Rhinolophus ferrumequinum: one gene and its partner. The protein of the gene in region 2 interacts with the protein of the main gene of each other region in a pairwise test. Links are inferred from orthologs where the notes say so. Each region holds a gene or a part of one and is shown on either strand. Other genes may lie near its edges.

The links. The genes of interacting proteins can lie anywhere in the genome.
Region 1: the proteins of UBQLN1 (region 2) and UBE2V1 interact in binary tests that used the Homo sapiens proteins (3 or more experiments, as listed by UniProt). The link is inferred for Rhinolophus ferrumequinum from reciprocal best matches to the Homo sapiens genes UBQLN1 and UBE2V1.

Annotation. Positions count from the first base shown.
Region 1 is NC_046306.1:9,444,017-9,451,483, reverse strand, and holds the start of UBE2V1 (ubiquitin-conjugating enzyme E2 variant 1), read right to left. Parts: upstream 3,021-7,467; 5' UTR 2,919-3,020; coding exon 2,897-2,918; intron 1-2,896. UniProt on the Homo sapiens protein: Has no ubiquitin ligase activity on its own. The UBE2V1-UBE2N heterodimer catalyzes the synthesis of non-canonical poly-ubiquitin chains that are linked through Lys-63.
Region 2 is NC_046295.1:47,098,031-47,104,882, forward strand, and holds the start of UBQLN1 (ubiquilin-1), read right to left. Parts: upstream 3,020-6,852; 5' UTR 2,532-3,019; coding exon 2,352-2,531; intron 1-2,351. UniProt on the Homo sapiens protein: Plays an important role in the regulation of different protein degradation mechanisms and pathways including ubiquitin-proteasome system (UPS), autophagy and endoplasmic reticulum-associated protein degradation (ERAD) pathway.

The sequences.
Region 1 (7,467 bases), on a different chromosome or scaffold from region 2:
GTTAGAAAGCAGGGGTCTGCACACTCATTTCAGTTGAACCCAATTAAGATTTTTCTGCTTCCACTCTCAGCACTCTACACTCTTTTCACTGCCTGGGGGTACAGGCCAGATCTTGTCATTCCCCTCTTTTTAAGACCATTCATTCATTCATTCATTCAACAAATATTTACTGAATGCTTACTTCATACCAGACATTTGCTTAATGGTTTCCCCTTACATTGAATAAAACCCAAAGCCCTGTCTCCAACTCATCATCCTTAGCGGCCTCCCTTGCACACTACGGCCTTTATTTTGTTCATTCAATATGCTAAGCTTGGCCCTGCCAGTGCCTTTGCATTCACTGTCTCCCCCTCTCCTGCCTGTGACACAGGCTTGGCTCCTTCCGTCAGTTCAAAGCCCCATGTCAGAGAAGGCGTCCCTGACTACCTCTCCAGATCATTGATCACATCACAGTTTCCTTCATAGCACGTACTGCTATCTGAAATTCTCTTAATCACTCCTTTCACAGGCTTCTCCCTGACTAGAAGCTCAAGGACAGGGCTTTGTCCATCTTGTTCACTAGTCACCCTGGGACATAGCAGGCCCTCAATAAATATCTGTTGAATAAACAAAGCAGTTTGGGGAAGCCCATTTTAGGGCACCTCAAAGCCTGTTCCACGTTATCTAAACCATGCCAAGTGCTCTTGTACTCCACTAGCCAGGAGCTGACATTGCTTTATCTGACCACCATTGCATTTATGAAGCACTCCAGTTGGCAGGGCCTCAGGAAGTTAGAATTCAGTAGCAGTTAAACCGGATGGTAGGGAGCCAATCTCAAGTGACTGACAACAGGGCTTAGTTGCAATACTACCGTAACGCTGGCTGCTATGGGTACATTGTGGTCCCCCCAACCCCGCCCCCACCCCAGGTCATAGCAACCTGGCAGAGGTGTTACTCCGGTGAGAAATTTCCCACAGCAGTCTGGCCTGACTCAGCCTCTCTCTTCTGAGTGTCTATGGCAGTGTCTTGGTAAACGAATTGACTCGGCACTGTTCCAACTGAAACCAAAGTCTAGGAAAAGCATGTGTGGTCTCCTCTATCCTCCAGGAAGATCCTGCTGCTTTCAGTGTAAAAGGCAGCGGTGGTAGGTCACTTCCTTTAGATCCCCTACATACATTTCCTTCTATTCCCACCCAATTATCAGGCAAGAATGGCTCCTTGGGATACTGGAGGAGCCACATCCTGGAAAGACATGGATTTTCTCACGCTGTTCACTTTATGTCAACAGCCTTCGATAGCCAGAGGATTTCAGTACCCAGGCTAGTAGCCCTGTTACTTCCTCCACCATGATCACCCCATCTGGGAGGGCCTTTTTGAGCAACTTGACTGCCAAAGGCCTCAGGGTATAGCTTCGTCACCAAAGGGGGAAACTGTCACCCCCAAATGCTGCACTTCCAGAATCTGACTCTCTCACCTCTTCAGCCCCTCTGGGGGACCTTCCCCAGCCAATCCTCCCCCTGCCTCCTCAAGAAGGCCACCTGAGTCTGTCCCCTCATGTCCAGCTGCAGGATAAGTTTGAAACAGACCTTTCAGGATTTGATCCTCAGGCCCATCTTAAGAGCATAGAGCAGGGAATCCAGTCTCAAAATAAGTGCTGCTTCCCTCAACCTACTAGGGACTGGACGAACGCCCCCTCCTCCAAGGTGTAGCTCCTTCATTCTCTCCTGCCCTCCTGGAGAAGTGGGGCTTTCCTCAGCTTTCCTTCCCCCAGCAGTCACCCAAGAATTCCCACTGCATTTGTTCCTCTCCCCACACCCATCCAGCCAATGGGGAACTTCTGAGCTGAAGCCACATATCATATTAACAATATCCAAAGGACTGGAAGGGAGTGCCAGTTTCCACAAAACAGACACTTCCGGGGTATGCTTCCCTCAGCCAATAAAGGAGATTTTTCTTCTTTAAAGGAAACCTCTCTGAAACCCGACCTTTTCCCACTCTCATCCACTGCATGGGGCTTCCCTCAGTTGACTCCCCTCTCCCCCACCAAACACCTCCAGGGCTCCCAATTCACCTGTTCTTCACCCAATATCGCAAGTCTCCACCAACTGCACCATCGGAGCCTGCCTCCTAAAGCCTAACATCTGTGTCCTCAAATAGGGGCTGGTAACGATGGCATCATTTCACTATCGGCTGCCCCAACCGGCACCCTCAGGAACCTGAGAGATCCTTTCACCCTTCTCACTTATTGTGTAGAGATGCCCTTACTCCCCGCAAACGTAGCCACCCAAGACGCCCCTTTTCTAATCAACACAGAGATTTCCTCAGCTAACCTCATCCCCAAAACTAACGCAGGAGCCGTCCCCTTAGCCAATGGGGGATCCTCTCAGTCATTCCTCAGGATCCCGTTTCCTCCTCCCATCCATCCTGACGGGCTTCTCTGAAGTCCCCGCCAAACGAACATCCCAAGGCTTCCCCCCGCCACCCGGACGAACAGCATGCAGAAAAGGATTTCCATAAGCCTTAAGGCGCCTCCTCCTCCTCTACGGAACCCCTCGATCTCCACCAAAGAGCCGCCAGCCCCGATCTCCTCAGCAGTGCCTCTGGGCGCTCCCCTCGCCCGCTCCCGCCGCTCAGCAGCGCCGCGGGGCCCGTCCCTTCCTCCCTGCGGGGCCCTCACGCCGCCCGGGGGAGCTTCTGGGCCTCGCCGCGCCGCCCACAGGCCCCTCAGGCCCCCGCCCGTGCTTCCGGCCGCCGCCTGCTCCTCCTCCCACTCAGGCCCGCCGGGCAGCCGCCGCGGAGCCTGGCGGACAGAGGCAGCGCAGAGGCCCTAGTCCCGCTGCAAGGGCCTTTGCGGGTCCCCGACCCCCGGCCCGAGCCCGCGTTCCTTCGGCCGGCAGGGCCCGGCGCCCCCGCTCACCCGAGCCCGTGGTGGCTGCCATCTTGCGTCGCTGTCGCTCGAAGGCCGGCCCCTTCTTCACCCCCCACCCGTCCTTGGGCCCTTCTGCGCAAGCGTGCGCGCAGGCGCAGACGTCATCGCTGACGCCTGCCGCGGACCACGCGATCCGATGCTGGGGAAGGTTTTTTTCCTGCCTTTATAGATAGAGGAAATATTTGCTTGCGCGAGGGCCCGGCTATGTGCAAGTCCCTCCGGGCTTGGGTGCGAAGGAGGTATTGAGATGCTTGGTGAGAAGGGCAGGGGTGATCAGACTTGGGAGGCGAGATTGTGAGAGAAAGAGAAGAAAAGACAATTGTAAAAAAGCGCCTATTTCGTTTCGAGCATTTTCCTATCTAGTTGGATCCTCACCACATCCCTACCAGGTCGAGATTAATATGAAAAACGAAGCTGAGTCGGGTTAAGCCATTTATCTAAATTCAGCTGTTAAGTGGCTAAGGCCGAATCTGAACCCAGGCCTGATCTTCTTGCTTCTAGGGTTGATGCTCCTGCGCCAGAGGAGGCTTGTAACCGGGCAACTAAATAATTTGGGGCATTAGAGTGGCAGGAAAAGCATTCACTCATTTACACATCGATCGATTTGTTCATCCAAACACTTAACTAAGCATCTACTATGGGCCAGGTGCTGTACTAGGTGCTGGGGATGGATATACATCCCTGAAGAAGCAAGCCCCTCCTCCTACGGGCGTACATTCTAGCCGGAGACAGAGAGCAAGTAAACTAACAGGAAAGAACATAATTATGAGATTATGTTAGAGAGTAACATAGAGAGTAAACCAGAGAGTAAACCAGGGATAGAGAGTAAACCAGGGAAGGCGCAGCAGGGGGTGGTCAGGGAGGGACTCCTAAGGTGGTCACATTTTAATGGAGACCTGAAGGATGTGAAGGAGGTAGAGGAAACTGTTTACACGTCCTGGAGACATATATTTGCAGGTACATGTTCAATGCAAGAAGCAACTCCCCCTTTACCACAGATGGTCTGAGAAGCCCTTATATGGATGTGGAAACAGGCTGTGAGAGGTAAAGGAACTGCTTGAAGGTCACACAGCTAAACACTGGCAGAGGAAGGACCAGAACTTCAGTACCGAGGAACAAGAAAGCCGGAAGCCCTTACTCAGCACATCCAAGCCATCACCTTGTTCTGACAGCCATGCTTCCTGAGCATTTCTCAACTCCATCCACTGTTCTTCCTTAGGATAGGCTGCCCCTGTCTCCTCCCACTGGATGACCCCAGCAGCCTTCATTCATGACCCCATGATCCATGCTCCACATGGCAGCCAGAGTCTGCTCCAAAACCCATCAGGGAAAACTTTTCAGTAGCTTCCCACTACCTTGGGATAAGAATACAGACTACAAACTGAGTGGCCATAGAATGATCCTCCAACAAGGACACTCGTCAGACTGAAAGTGGGCCTAGTATAATCTTGCCAGGGCAGCAAGCAGAAACGAGGACTCTTCAGGGCAAACCAGGACGGATGGCCACCCTACCACAAGGCCCTGCACCTAGGGCTAGGACTAGGATGGGGCCAGTGAGGAGTCTAAGGAATCAAATTTAAGGAGGCTTTCACGCTGTGCCTCCCTAAAAGGTATACCCTCAACTTTCACCCCTCCATGGCACTCACTACCTGCACCTCAGACTTGCTGTACCTCTCCAGTTACACTGGCCCTTTTCAAGGCCTCTGGAACACAAGTCCTCTCCCTCCTCAGGGCCTTTGACTGGACTGTTCCTGCTCTTCTGTGCAGGAAGATGTTCGCCCTCTTAGGGAAGCTTTTCCTAATTTCGCCATCCAGATCAAATGCAGCCGTAATCGATTTGCAAAGTGTCAAGAGTGTCTCCTTCCCAGCACTGGCCACAGGCAAGCATCTCGACATTCCATGTATCACATCATTCCAGTTTACCTTGAAGACAATGGAAAATATTTGCCCTGATCTTTGGGTCCCTGTAAAGCATCAGGTAGCAGGTGGGAAGCGTTTGGGCTCCTAAGGTGGACTCACCTCTAGAGTGAAGTTTTCTGGGTTTGAATCCTCCACCACTCACTTTGCTGTGTGACTTCAGGCAAGAGACTTGAACCCCTCCTGGCATTAGTTTTCCCTTCTGAAAAAAGGATAGTATCAACCTCATAGGGTGTTGTGGAAATAAAATGCCCAGGTAGCATAAATAAACAGCAAAATAAAACCGTTGGGCACAGAGGAAGGAGGGTCACTAGAAGAAATGGCATTTACCAAGACATCCAGGTTTTAATCGTCGCAACACAACAACTCAATGCGGCATCTCCTAGGTATATCCCCATTTTAGAGATGAGAAAACTGACTTTTTCAGCTAACAATGAGGATTGAAACACAAGCCTCTTATCCACGATGATCATAAATATTTACTTGCGTAGATTCCTTGGTACTCATAGGGAATTTCTGGCAAGCGAAAAATATTTATCGACAATAAAGCAAATTCCTATGCAAAATACCTAGCAGGAGGAATAGGTTAAGCAGGAAGTCTCCGGGCATGCTGGTTATTATAGTCCAGCGGTGTCGCAGAGCCTTCTGGGAGTTGTAGTCCTCCCCTTGCTCACACTCTCTCGGAGAAACTCCGCCCCCTCCCCAGAGGTCACAGCCGGTCCCCAGTGCGGGATTTCTCTGGCGTGTTTGGGCCCGGTCCCTGCTCCGCTTGAGCCGGTAGCTTCAGCTGGTGCAGATAAGAGAGCTCTGTTTTATGATATTGTTGGGAATATTAAAATGGTTAATAGAACTAAAGAATTTAAAAAAGGGTTTGGCACAGAGCGAGTGCTATATAAGTATTAGCTACCACTATTATTATTATTATTATTATTATTATTATTATTATTATTATTTAATCCTCATTGACCCTTGCAAAGTAGCTATTATGATCTTTTCTTGTCAGATGAGGGAACTGAGGCTGGAAGGAGTTAGATGGCTTTCCCAGGGTCATACAACACGAAGGAGTAAAATCCAGTTTTGGAATTGGGTTCTCTTAATCCTGGGTCACCTGCTGTTTCCTCTGTGGTGAGGAAGGTGGAGCCTGAGAAGTTTGAAGCAAAATGTGAGCGTATTTGCATTTTTACAAACGCAACCTGGCTGCCTTGAGGAGATTGAATTGGGCTGCCGCAAGACTGGAGGTGTGGAGTCCAGAGAGGAAGTGCGTCGGACACTCCTGACTCTCCGTCCAGTCTCCATGGCCCTTCGCGCCAGAAGGTCCAGTGTTTAGGTGTGAATCCAAGCCAGTCATGGGCACTACCATTTCTTTTTGCCAGTGATTGATCCAGTGGCGTACCTGTGTCCTAGTTCTTTCTGGTCAATGAATTGTGGAGGGGGCATGTTAGAAAAGTTTTTGTCCCTTCATAACAGCAGAAGAGAAAACCTTTTTTTGTCCCCTTTCCTCCTTCCTAAAGATGAGATTGTGATGGATGGAGCGGTGGCAATCATAATGAAACCATGCGACACAAGCCTGAGGCCAAAAAGCCTACCGTCTCACCAAAGAGGCCAGCACAGAAAGACAGAAAGAGCTAGGACCTGGCTGATGTAGTTGAGCTGCTGGATGAATCCAGGGACTGCCTACCAACAGGCTTCTTAAGACATGATCCAATGATTGTTTTTATTGCTTAAGCTGCTCTTAAAGGTAAGTGTATGTGGTCTACAGCCTGAAGTATACATAGTTGATACAGGAAGCTGGCACAATGCTCCAATCAAGAGATATATAGATGTGGACGGTTCCCCAGTGTTCACTGAAAAACACTGTTCTCAAAAGATGGGGAAACATCTGGGCAGTTTTGGAATCTCTGGATGTGAAAGGCATGAATAATTTGCAACAGTACATTCAAAATGTAAAAACTGCAATATACTTTACAAAATCTACAATATTAGTTTTTGGAGCAACACACACTTCTCAAACTCTACTGTGTGACACAAATCACTAGGAATCTTTTTAAAATGCAGATTCTGGTTCCATGGGGGTGAGGAGTGCTGAGATTCCGCATTTCTAATGAGCTCCAAGGGATACCAATGCTGACCCACAGACTACACTTTGAATAGCAAGGTTGTGGATAACATTATATAATTTTGTTTATATTTCCCATTTAGAGTTAAAGAAAAACCCCAACCTCCGTGCTATAGCTTGTATAATACAAACTACAGAAAGTAAAGCTGACGAACTGTTGATAGGAAGTGTCACGGGAACCCAGAAGACAGAGCGTATAATTCCTAGGGAGGTGTCTGTGGTTGAGGGTGTGTGTGACACATTTGCTAGTGGCATCTCATGGCACATACATGGAGTTCTGTTCCCTAGGTGTGTCTGAAGTATAGCATTGAATGTTTGGTATTGCTGCTAAAATATACAACCAGAAAGGGATGGCAGTAGGTGGGTAGGGGGATCTGGTACAATTCATTCACTCACTCTTCTACTGATGGACATCTGAGTTGTTTCCATTGGCTTCTTCCTATACAATTTATTTCTGTAATGTCAGAATTTTATATTATCTGTTAACTTTTGTGGTCAGGGAAAAAGGAATAAAAACCAAGAGTCT
Region 2 (6,852 bases):
ACCTCGGTTTTCGAACCTCTCTGTTGACAAACATTTCAGTTTACGAATGCCGTAAACCCAGAAGTAAATGCTTTGGTTTTCAAACACGCCTCGGAAGTGGAATATGTCACATGGCTTCCATGTCACATGGCTTCCGCTGAGTGCAAGATCCTGAGGCCTAGCTGTCAGCTGTTTTCAAACGTTTCAGAACTCGAACGGTCTTCTGGAACAGATTACGTTAAAAAACCGAGGTACCATTGTATTTAATGAGACAAGCATCTGTCCAAAAAAGATTTGTACAAGAATGTTCACAGCAACTAACTGGAAACAGCCAAAGTAACCTCAACAAAATGGATAAACTACGGTACAGTGGTACCTCGGTTTTCGAACATAATCCATTCTGGAAGACCGTTCTGAGTTCTGAAATGTTCAAAAACCGAGGCTCGGTTTCCCCATAGGAAGTAATGCAAAATGGATTAATCCATTCCAGATCTTTAAAATCAACCCCTAAAACTGCAAATTCAGCATGAATTTTACTATTTAATGATACCATAGATCCATAAAACTTACGGCGTTCATAAACTGAAATGTTCGTCAACGGAGATGTTGGAAAACCTAAGTACCACTGTATATTCATACAATGGAAAACAACACAGCAACAAAAAAGGAATCAGTGATATATACAAGAATAAATCTCAAAAACTTATATATGCTGAGTGAATAAAAAGCCTTACCCAATACATACTATATAATCCCACTTATGTGAAATTCTAGGGTGGGCAAAACCAACCCATGGGGAAAAAAATGAAAACAGTGGTTGATGGAGGGGAGAGTGACTGAACTGACTGGGTAAGACGTAACTTTCTAGTCTACTATAAAGTTCTACATCATGATGAGTCTTTAGATTACACAGGAGTTTTGTGGAAATACACAGAATGGAAACCATGTGTATTTTATTGCAAGTCAAACTTAAAAAGAAAAAAATTAAAAGAAAAATTGAACTCAGGTTAATGATGTGCACATTGCTGAAGTTCTTTTTAAGGGTAACATGAATTGATACTTACAACTTACTTTGAAATTCATCCAAAAAATAAAATGGACTAATAAATGATGTGATAGAGCAAATACAGCAAAATGCTAATTGTAGGCAATAGACATATGGGTGTTCGTTGTCTAATTCTTTCAATTTTCCTGTATGTTGTAAAATATAAAATTAAGGAAAAATTTCCTAGGAAAATTGAGACAAAAAACGTGGTGATTCAGTAGGTGGTAAAAGTTTCTCTCACTCGATGCTACATGCTCTACTTACCGCTTCAAAAAACACACCACCTTTTGGAACTATATAAACCAATACCCCATTTACCGTCCCTGGGGAAACAGGTACATTTTAGGGTCTGCTGTTTCCTCATAAACTGTTCACAATGTTTGAAATCGCCAGAGATCAATAATTACAGAAAATTTTCTGGGATGTATTCAACAAAGTTAAAACCATTTGTTGAATTCTTCAAGATTTCTAATTAACTGCACAATTTGTATTCCTGAAGATTTTAAGTTATAAATTATTCGATAGCATTGTCCATTAACGCCAACTATGTTCTTTTATTCGATTGCAACCGCTACGATAATATCTGAATAACGCAGCTATCGTTCCTCTAAAATCAAACAAAAAGCAACTCAATGATTGGCATCTAAGGCAAGATAAACACATTAAAAACAGCAAGTCATCATTGCAAGTCATCCACCTTTCTCCTTAAGCCTAGTATTACTTCTTACGATGTGGCTGTACGCAATATCTACGTCATAGTTAATTTAAAAAACTAAATATAAAGTATGGGCAAGACATCAGCAGTCAAAATGCAAAACTAAATGTACACGTGCTCCTCACAGTAAAATCCACCTTAACCCACAGGCAGGTAAAACAATGAGCACCCCCCGCCCAGTTTTTTTATTCATGAGACAAAACCGCCGACTAGATTAAAGTGAACCCTCGCCCCGGCTCAGCCTTCACCTCGCCAGGAGCCAGACGGTGAGTCCTTTTCCTTTGTGCTGAGCAGCGGGGAGGCGGCTGGGGGCGGGGAGCTGGGGGCGGAGGCTGGGGGTCCGTGGACGCCAGAGCAAAAGGAAGGCGCGGAGGGAAGCGGCGTCGGCGCGTTCTACAAACAGGCCGCGCGGCCCCGCCACAAACCTCAGCGGTGTCCCAAGGCGCAAATCCACGGAGTTGGGTGTGATCTAATTTGGGACGAGCCCGGAGATGGCCGAGAGCACCTCCGGGGACGACCCCCTCCCAGGCCTTTGCAAAGCCGTCTCCTCCCGCCGCGGGCGGAGGTCCTGCCGCCACCCCCACCCCGGCCCGAGCGCAGGGCGGCCCTCACCTGCTGGACGGAGCTATTCTCGGGCACAGCGAACTCCTCCTTCTCCTTCGGGGTCTTCACGGTGACTTTCATGATCTTGGGCTCCGCGGAGGCAGCGGCCGCGGGGGAACCGGCACCTTCGGCCGCGGCGGCGCTGTCCTGGGAGCTCGGAGGGCCACCGCTTTCACCACTCTCGGCCATGGCGGCGGCGGCAGTGACTCAGGAGGGTGCAGGCGAGCGAGGGGGAGCCAGGAGACGCCACAGCAGGCTGGCTCGGGCAACGGAGAATACAGGACGCGCCGCCTTGGTGTCAACAGGCGCAGGGCCGCGGGCGGCGGGCCGCGGAGCTGGGTGTGGGCTCCGGTGCAGGCCCGGGTCGGCCGTTCGGCAGCCGCCGTTCAGACGCGGCTTGGTCGCAGCGACATCCGCAGCCGCCGCCGCTTCCTCCTCCCCACCCCTCCCCAACGTCCCTCCGCCGGCGCGGCGCAGGGCACGCCGGGTAATGCGGCTGGCGGCGTCACCGAGTCATGCCCAGCCGGCGCCGCTTCGAGTTCCGGCTGCTTTACGTTCCCTTTCCCGCTCCATGGCCCAAATTGTAGGCACGGCCAGAGGGAAGGACTAAAAGCAAAGTGTAGTGGGAGAGGTCAGTTCATTTCTTTTCACTCCTTTCACCAAAAAATAAATTCGCAGGTTCTGGGAGGCACTGTCACGGCGCACGGGAATGACGTTGCGCCTAGCGAAAATACTAGAAAGGGGGCTCGACCACTGGGCGCTGCTGCTGTGGTCGCGGCTGCGCGGTGGGGGTCCAGTTAGTTCCCCCTACCCGGTTCTGTCAAAGGCCGTGCCGCCGCGCTCGCGGGTCTGGGCGCCCTCCGTACATCCCACTGGGACGGGGGTCTGTAATAAATGCAGGGGAGGTGTTTTGTTATTTTAATACGATCAGTTTTTGCCTATTTGGAAGGTTTAAAATGCTTGATCTTAGTGCCCAGTGCGCGGAAGTTGGAAGTTAAGTTAATGGAGGAAAAATCCTCATTACGAAAGGAAAATGTAGACGTCTCCAGCCGCTGTGCGCAATCCCGCGAGTCATTGCTCTATGGCCACGGCTTCCTGTCCTTGGGTCAGGCCAGTGTGCTCAGGTGATCAGGCCACCTGTGTTGACTGGGGCCTCCGCTCCCGCTCTTACAATCCTGCGCGAGCACCGCCACCCCCCCAATTTTCTGGGAACACTATCCCATAAATTGGGACAGAAACAGTGCCCACCCAACTAGGAAGTTTAGCCGAAGTGTTCCATTTTATATTCTACCAAATTAAGTTACTGCTCTATTTCAAACTTTAGGTAATATTAAAGATAATTATTTTCAATGTAGTGTAGGTACAAATAAGGAATAAGAAGTTATTTTCCCCTTGAAAATTCCAAATTTAAAATGATGCCATTGTTTGCCTTTAAAGATGACTTTCAAGGAATGTACAACCCAGAACGTTAACTTTATTAATCGGTGTTACACAAATGTAAACCCCGACAGCCCAACGTGACCCAAATATTGCAAAGATGCACTCTGCATTTGTTTTTAAATTATCCAACTCTCTTCTGGGAAAAAAATACTGTTGCATGAAGACTACTTTAAAGCAGAGTCCCTTTGGAATCTGGGCCTAAGGAGTTGTGAAAGTATAAATTGGGGCCGGCCTGGTGGCTCAGGTGGTTGGAGCGCTGCACTCCAAGTGCTAACAAACAGGTGGAGGAGGTGGCTGGTTCAAGTCTCACATGGGCCAGTAAGCTGCTCCCTCTACAGCTAAGATTGTGAACAATGGCTCTCCCGGGAGCTGGGCTGCCATGAGCTGCAGGAGGTTGGCGTGGGCTGCTGTGGGCTGCTATGTGCTGCGGTAGGCTACCATGAGTGGCCAGCTGATTGCCTCAGCAGGGAGGGAGTGCAAGGCTCATAATACACAGCTGGACTGAGAAATAGGGCTTGAACCAGAATGGGGGGCAGGGGTGAGGGCAGGCGGAAGAAGGGGGGGGGAAAGTATAAATTGCAATATAGTCATCATCTGGTATCAGCTAAATTTCTGACAGCATTGTTCAATAACATATGCAAGGCTCTCTGCTGAAGGATGACTATATTTGTGTCTAGATGTAAGGTAATCATTACTTCTCAAGGTAGAAAATTCCACCATTGGACAACCAGTCATTTATCTCTAACCCAACACTTAAGAAAATTGTTCTGTAATTAATTGTCTACATTAATTTCTAAATTCTGAAGTATTTGCACAATTTATGAAGTACTGTATCTGTAAGAATATATGGTATAGTTATTTGTTCATTAAAGCACTTTTTAGAAATAATCCTACCTTGTAAGGAACCTTTGAAGATGGGGGTCCAGATCAGGGATCAACAAACTTTCAAGTAAGACTAGATAGTATGTTAGACTTTGTAGGCCATACATTCTCTATAAATACCGCATATTCCCATATAGCTTTATTGCTGTTTTTGGTGTCACTTATCACATTCTGCCGTGTATTAAACGTAATTGTGTCTAGTCCTTTATTAGACAAGATCTTTGAAAACAGGGATCAAGTCTTAATCACACAGTGCACTCAGTTCCTGGCTTCAGAGTATTTATTGTTGAACTGAATTATTGGGCTGTCATGTTTCCACTAGACAGGAAATTTCATTTAGAACTCTAGATCATATGCGTACTTTATACTGCTATACCTTGAAACTTACTTGCTTCGCAATAGGTTCAGAGGAAGGAACCATTCACTGTGTGAAGCTCTCAGCCTAATGATTTCTTTTCAGATAACAAATTTATTCAACACATATGTATTTGGACTGTGTTTCCTGACCTTAGGAGGTTATCCTATGTGAAGAGTCTGCCATCATGTTGTGTAGACTAAGCAAATGAGCCATGGAGAAATTTTAAGTACTCTCTGAGATCAGAGAGAAGTAGGTGAAAATGCAAAATCTATTATGTGAAGCAAATCATCTACGTATTCCAGAGAATACTAATGCTTATAGGAAAAGATGCTTTAGGATGTTGGGAGTTCTGTAGTACTTAAGAAGGCAACCTATTGAGATAGTCTACATACCTGTAGGCAGCTGAGAGGTGTTTTAAAAAAGAAAAAAACGTATAGCCTTCAATCACTCCATTTCATCCCAATAATTCATATAACGTGATTCCCAAGTGAATTGAAAGGCGAAGACAGAATGACAGTGTGATTTATCTGAGTTATTCTATAATCAGGCATTGTGAAGGGTCTGAGATTTTCCCACTACGTACTTACAAGCCAAGTTTCATGAATGCTGGCAGAAGACAAAATTCCTAGGTTGGAAACAGACTTTGTTGCGGTAATAGCAGTAGCCAGGGTACCATCATTTTTTTTATTTTTTTTATTTTCTTTTTTTTTGGCACCAGTTCAGCAAGCCCTAACCTCTGAAGAATGATGCAAAGAGGGCCAGGTGACACCTGCACATACAGTGACTTGCATTAAGAGAAATCCCAAGCGTGGGGAACCCAGATCTTACAAATGGGCAGTAATCCTGCAGCCCTTTGCTCAGAGATCTTCAAGGACAGTTCGCTATACAGATATCCTTGAAAACATAGTCCAAAACAAAGGCAGTACATTAGTTTCCTATTCCTGCTGTTAACAACCACAAATTTAGTGGCTCAAAACACCACAGGTTTATTACCTCACAAGTCTGGAGGTCAGAAGTCCAAAATGGATCTTAGAAAGGGTTAAAATCAAAGGCTGTGTTCCTTCTGGAGGCTCTGGGGGACAAATAGAATCTGTTCCTTGCCTCTAGAGACTGCCCACATTCTTGGTTTATGGACAAATCACTCCAACTTTGCTTCAATTGTATATCTCTTGACTCTCCTGCCTCCCTCTTTCCCTTATAAGGACCCTTGTGATAACACTGAGCCCTCCTAAGTAATCCAGGATAATCTCATCATCTCTTAATCACATCTACAAAGTCCTTCACATGTAAAGCGTCAGAGTCACAGGTCCTGAGGATTAGGATCTTTGGGGAGCCATTATTCTGCCCACCAATAGTAGTCAGTGCCTGTATTCACAAAATACACACAATATGAGAGACCCATGAAGAATTATCTCCCGATGATATCCACTCCTTGTTTTTGCACTTCTTGGCTTCTGGAAAACTCCTTTGAGGGTGTCACTCTGTTGGTCATTGTGATTAATCTGACCACCAGAGGCTGGGATCAAATCCATTTTTTGTCTCTAGAACATTTAATAAGGCTATTATCAACAAGATTCCAAGTAGCAAGATGAGGCCAACCTGCAGTATTAACTGCTCCTCAAGGGTCCAGACCCAATCAACTGAACAAATCCTATAAACCATCGAGATCTACTTTGGCTGCTTCCTTAGTACTGTTTCTGTATTGACTTCCCCTTGCCCCAAAGCATTAATCTGGGTATGGCAGGATGTCTTAGCAATTGCACATACTTTGCCATGGCTTATGAGGAGGGAGTCTAGAGCAATTACATCATAAATACCCTGAGCAGCGAG